2 linked regions of the Kluyveromyces lactis genome follow. The protein of the gene in region 2 purifies or fractionates together with the protein of the main gene of each other region. This does not show direct contact. Links are inferred from orthologs where the notes say so. Each region holds a gene or a part of one and is shown on either strand. Other genes may lie near its edges. The genes, in order: NOP1 and ESF2.

What was found.
Region 1: the proteins of ESF2 (region 2) and NOP1 purify together in Saccharomyces cerevisiae (affinity purification with mass spectrometry, with the first as the bait; 3 studies listed by BioGRID). This does not show direct contact. The link is inferred for Kluyveromyces lactis from reciprocal best matches to the Saccharomyces cerevisiae genes ESF2 and NOP1.

Annotation. Positions count from the first base shown.
Region 1 is NC_006039.1:400,228-403,218, reverse strand, and holds NOP1 (rRNA methyltransferase NOP1), read right to left. Parts: upstream 1,799-2,991; coding exon 791-1,798; downstream 1-790. Other genes in the region: trans-2-enoyl-CoA reductase (NADPH) TSC13, read left to right, coding at 2,629-2,991.
Region 2 is NC_006039.1:1,673,116-1,676,183, forward strand, and holds ESF2 (RNA-binding ATPase activator ESF2), read right to left. Parts: upstream 1,603-3,068; coding exon 721-1,602; downstream 1-720. Other genes in the region: putative GTPase NOG2, read right to left, coding at 1-351; KLLA0_C18887g (uncharacterized protein), read left to right, coding at 2,268-3,068. UniProt on the Saccharomyces cerevisiae protein: Involved in the small subunit (SSU) processome assembly and function, and in the 18S rRNA synthesis. Required for the early cleavages at sites A0, A1 and A2. Stimulates DBP8 RNA helicase ATPase activity.

The sequences.
Region 1 (2,991 bases), about 1.3 Mb from region 2:
TACCAGATACCTATTTTAAGGATCTGGCTCTGAACTCTTCCGATACCTTTGTATACTTTTAGCTTATTTCAAAGGTTTACTCTTAATATCAAAACCACTGTTGTCTTAAATATCATAATTATTAATTTCAAGAACTTTTCTTTACTTTTGTCTCAATTTGATGTCGATTAAAGATAAAAGAAACAAAGAGTTTGTCAACAGATGCACAGATGGACCGTATTATGGTATCGTAACCCGTATGGGGTTATATCCTTTAATTCACTGCTACCAGACATGATTTTCTAGAACGTATGGTTGTTATTGATATATATAAGTTATATATAGTATGTGATAATAATAATAATATATCTACAAATTAAATGTACAAAATAAGGTTAAGAGTGTTCGAGTATTAATACCGTTATTGTGAAAATGGGTTCTTTTGTATTGTCAAGTTGATGAACAAGGTTTTGAAATCTTCTTCTATTCTTTTCCCGTCAGTTAGTCGATCTCCTTTGAACAGGCGAAGGACCTGGACTGTAAGTAAAAGAAACACACAGAGTGACAAAATACAAGTGAAGACGAAGTGGAGACTTTTCTAGTTTGTAGAACTTTATCACGAATCAATGAGATGCAAAATTTCAAATAATATTATAGTGTTAATGATTGTATTGGAATGAAGGTTTTTAAAACTAAAAAGTAAGCAAAAAAAGATTAGAAGCCAAAAAAAAAAGATTAATAGAAGGAATCATGAACCAAGTAGGCATACTCTAGCATTGGTTTCAAAATATCAATATTTCTTTAGCAGCTCTTATAATCCACTTCTCATGTATTTACCGATAACGATACAATGGTCTCTTTCATAAGGTTCCAAAGTCAATTGTTCCAAAGGCTTAATCTTTTCTTCTCTCAATTTTTGAACTTCTCTAGCGAACACAGTTTCAGCATCAACAGTAGAATCGATACAGTTAGCCTTGATAGAGATAACGACACCACCTTGATCCTTCAAGAACATATGAGAGTTCAAAGCAATAATACGGGCTTGATCAGGTTGAGCAACATCTGCGAAGACGGCGTCAACCATACCGATAAGCATTCTGTATTTTTGTGGATGTCTAGCATCTTCAATAATTGGGATAACATTTGGTCTCTTCTTAGCCATAGAGATCAATTCTCTACCTGGTCTGTGAGAGAACTCAACAGCGTAAACCAACCCTTCTGGACCAACGACATCGGAAACGTGGGACACAGATGTACCGGAAGCAGCACCTAGATATAGAACCTTCTTACCTGGAGCAATGAATAGTTCATCCAAACCACCCATGATACCGGCAGCCAATTTGGATCTGAAAGGATTCCAAACACGGTATTCCACCTTAGTTGGTGGGACACCTTCTTCAGTGGAAGGTTCTTCAACTGAAACTCTCTTTTCACCGTACACAGATTCACCTGGAGCGATGTTCTTTGTGACCAAAAGATCTTCTTTACCTCTGGCAATAAAAACACCAGCATGCTTATGAGGTTCGATAACAACCTTAGCACCACCACGGGCACCACCACGAGCACCACCACGAGCACCACCACGAGGACCACCTCTGGAACCACCACGGGCACCACCAAATCCACCTCTGGAACCACCGCGAGCGCCACCACGAGGACCACCACGACCACCACCGAATCCACCTCTGGAACCACCACGGGAACCACCGAATCCACCACGGCCACCGCCAAATCCACCTCTGGAACCACCTCTGGAACCACCGCCGAATCCACCACGGGAACCGCCTCTGCCACCTCTAGAACCTGCTTGGAATGCCATTATTATTCTTAACTAGTTGGGAATTATCTGTCTTGAGATATAATGATTATGCTGCTGTTGCTGCTCTTGATCTTCTTCTCTCTAAATTGGACAAAGGAAAAAAAAAGAATTAAAATTGTGAATCAGTAACAGGTATTGTCGTTGACTTTGAAACAGAATCCTGGACGGCTGTAAAACTCTTCTAAAATGGGTAGATTATAGGAACAGAAAACGTACACAATACTATTCTATAAACAATTGATTACTTCTTTCAAGCAAGAACAACTTAATAAACTCTTACTTTACATTCGATGAGATGAGCTTTCGAAACTTTTTTTTTTCAGCTGAAAAATTTTGAATGAAAAAACAATATTAAATTTCTTTTTCAAAGTTCTCATCTTTGGTCTTTCTGTGCCTCTTGGTACGTACAGAACGATGAACGTTAAAGTCACATGACTATTGTCACATCTGTATCACGTGATATGAATTGATTATATAATCATATGAATCTACAACTTTTCAAGATTTTTTTTTGCTATGTTGAGCCAGATACTTGCTACAATGCGTACGTTTACTAAGGATTTCTATACAAGTTTTTCATAGTCAACATTGCGAAAATATGCAGATGAGATCATTTTTGGTTGTTGTTGTGAATATCGGTATCTTTATAAAAGCAGATAAAAAATCAGAGAAGTGGAACCAGCTTTGACTTTTGTACGTTATAGCAATCAGAATCTGAATTAGTATATCTGGATAAATTTTCTGGTTTAGTTTTGAGATCCTATTTTCCAAACTATCGCTGTATATTTTAATCCGACAGTTGAAGATATTACCTAGATAAGTGTCCCTTTATGTCTGCATCCAGTTCAATTTTTATTAAATCACGCTCAAAGAGCTTAAAAGACGTCAAGTTGGAAGTTCCAACAGAAAATACGTTGACATATCAATCTGTTTTGCAACAGATTTCGAAAAGCAATCACAATATTAGCGTTAACAGGTTAAGGTTAAGCTATCTGAAAGAAGGTAAGCAAGTCGCCATTGGGCCCTCTGAATTGAACGATGTTGGTAAGAAAAACACGTTCGATTCAGTTAACGAGTGGTATGTTAAGGATTTGGGTCCGCAGATCTCTTGGAGACTGGTGTTTTTCATCGAATATTTGGGTCCGATCTTGATCCATTCTTTAGTTTACCTTTTGTCTTTAAACGCAACAGTT
Region 2 (3,068 bases):
CAACGACATCGGAAGTTTATTTCTTCTCAATAGCACCTGATAAGAATCACGCTTGTTCTCGCCCAAAGCTTCTCTGAAATGGCTCAATGAATCCTGAGAAATAACTCTGGTATTACCAAACCATCTACGGTCAGGAGCCACTCTTGCTGTTGGAGCAGCAGTATCCTGCAACGGAGCAGCCTTGATAATGTCACCCTTTGCATTACGAACAGATCTACCACCTTTGTACATGTTCAAAAACTGCACTCTCTTGGTGTCCCTGTAGAAATTCTCACCCTTCACACGAAGGTTACCATCCTTGGTATTACCTTCGCGGATTCTCCTTTGCTTTTCCTTCTTACCGGTACCCATTGTGCCTTGGTATAGATTTCAATTAGGTTTCCTTTGGTTCGTTCGTTTGTTCGTTCTTTGTGGTAACGAACACGTTCAATTTCGATCGAAAACTCAAACAGATGGAAGAATAAGTAACTGAATGTCTCTTGCCTGGACTGAGATCAACCTGAATCGAAACAAACCACTGATGAACCTGCCTTTGTTCCTGTTCCAATTCATGAGATGAGATGAGATGAGCTGGAAAATTTTTTCTTTTCACTTTTTCTTACACTATGGGAATGAAAAAGAAACCTGATCTTTGACCATGGGAATGGCAGGCGATGAGTTGTACTCTCTGTAGGGCTTTTGGCTTGGCTATATGCTTTATATATGTGTTATATAGTCATCTTAGAATAAACTATGCATGACATCGTTGAGTGCTTTCGATTGCGGTTGGGATTGTCTCTGAGAATCTGGAGCAGATGCTCTTGTCGAAGCGACTTTCCTCTGTTTGAAAGTCCTGCGAACTTCTTCATCGACCTGCTGTGATTCTTGTTGGTTACGTTTCTTGCTCTGTTTCATCTTGTTGACCATCTTTGATTTCTCTACGTTATGGATGAACTCTGCGTTCAACTTGTTGGCCTGTGAGATTTCCAATTGTAGCTTTGCTTGTCTGATATCGTTTTCTCTAGCGATTTGTTCTGTCAAATCGGCCCATTTGAACCCGGGCAAGTATTTAACGTTCATGACGTCGTCATGGTAGAAATTTCCCTTCTTACCACCGATAATATTACCGTTTAGAGTCGATGCGCACAGTTTAGCGTCCTTCTTTCTGATAAACTCGGCCCAACCTTCTTCAAACATCGTTTTCTTGTTCCCACCACTCTTGACACGCTGCTGGTGCTTGTGCTCCTCTTCACGTTTCAAGAACAGACGGTCCACTTCACCGAATCTTGTGAGAATCTGCCTTAGCTTGGCTGGTTTCATGTACGGTGGAACCCTCGATAGGTAAACCACACCGGTCTTGTGTTTCGTCTTCTTATCGCTCTTAAGCTTTTTGAGTCGTCTCTGCTTTTCTTTCTCTATCTGCTGTTCTGTGAGTTGTACTACCTTATCCTCCGGTTCTTCTTCATCCTGTACTTCCTCGTCCTCTTCCTCTTGCTCTTCCTCGTCCTCTTCTTGATCAAACTGAATCACATTCTTCTTCGCATCCTTCCCAGTGATCAACACTTGGTTGTCCTCTTCTTCGTCTGACGCAAAATCATCCACATCGCTGTACTCCTTGCTCATCGTGTTATTGTTGTCCTTAGTTAACCTGCTGAACCTTGTGGTCTGTTGTCTCTTCTCTCATGTATATGGTTCATCTCATCTCATCTCATCTCATCGCTTTAGTTCCAAATTTTTCAGTATGGCACTCACTGTACAGAAGAAATGGGAACCAATCGTACTGGACGACGGACCGATACCACAATGAAGTAACGGGTCTGTAGCCGGTGTTTGCAGCCTGTATGGCCGGAGATCGCGAACTTGATCCATGTCTGCTCTTGCTGCACGCTTGAGCAGCTTTCTCAGTGAGGTGTGCAGGTCTTACATACATATTCTATATAGAAACGGCTTAAAACTACGTCAAAGCAGGAACCTCCCCACTCTCTTGGCGTAGTTCCCTCCGCTTTGCTACCAGAGTTGCCATTGCCATTGCTCATTGCCATTGACATTGCCGTTGTCGTTCCACTGTTATCCGGTTTGTGACAACTGGTGACTGGATTAATAATAACCCGACACGAATGGCAAGAAACCGGAAAAACCTTGTCCGTTCGAGAGATTAATCCAGATATATAAAGGGGAAGTGCTTCCGATATAGATGAACAACACATGTATCCTTGATCTAATTGGCTTGACTTGTTGATTTATAGTCGCCCCAATACAAACAACACACACTCGATATATTTTACAATATGTCTGCACCTTTAAACGTTGGTATTGTAGGTACCGGTATCTTTGCAAGAAACAAGCACTTGCCCACTTTCCAACAGCACAGCGATAAGTTCAAACCAGTCGCATGTTTCAACAGGACCAAGAGTAAAGCAGATGCGTTTGCTGTCACTGCTGGTATCGAGGAGTCTAAAGTTTACGCAGATTTGGACCATTTGTTGCAAGATGATTCCGTTGACGTAGTGGATGTGATGGTTCCTGTTCAATTCAACTATGAGACTGCGAAGAAGAGTGTAGAAGCTGGTAAACCGGTGATCTTGGAAAAGCCGATTGAAGCTAACTTGGAACAGGCTAAGAAATTGGTTCAATTGGCTGAATCTACCGAGCTTCCAGTTGCTATCGCAGAGAATTGGTTACATTTAGAATGTGTGCCAATAATGAAAGAGAAATTGGCTAAGATTGGTCCAATTGCTGCGTTCACTTACAATTCCACTGGTCCCTTCTATCCATCGAGTGAATACCTGGCTACCAGTTGGAGAAAACATCCAGAACACATTGGTGGGTTTTTGTCCGACGGTGGTGTTCATCAACTTGCGTTGTTGACTACTCTATTGGGGGACATCGGTAGCATTGCTGCGTTTTCTAACCAATTGAGAAAGGAATCTGGTACTAACGATATAGTGTTTTCCAGCGTAAAGCTCAGAGACTCGGATGTTATAGGTACGTTTACATATGGGTCTGCATTCGGTGCCACTGAGAAGAGTGTCTTTTTGAAGGTTTACGGTTTGAATGGGTCTGTCACTATGAACATCAATGCTCGTACA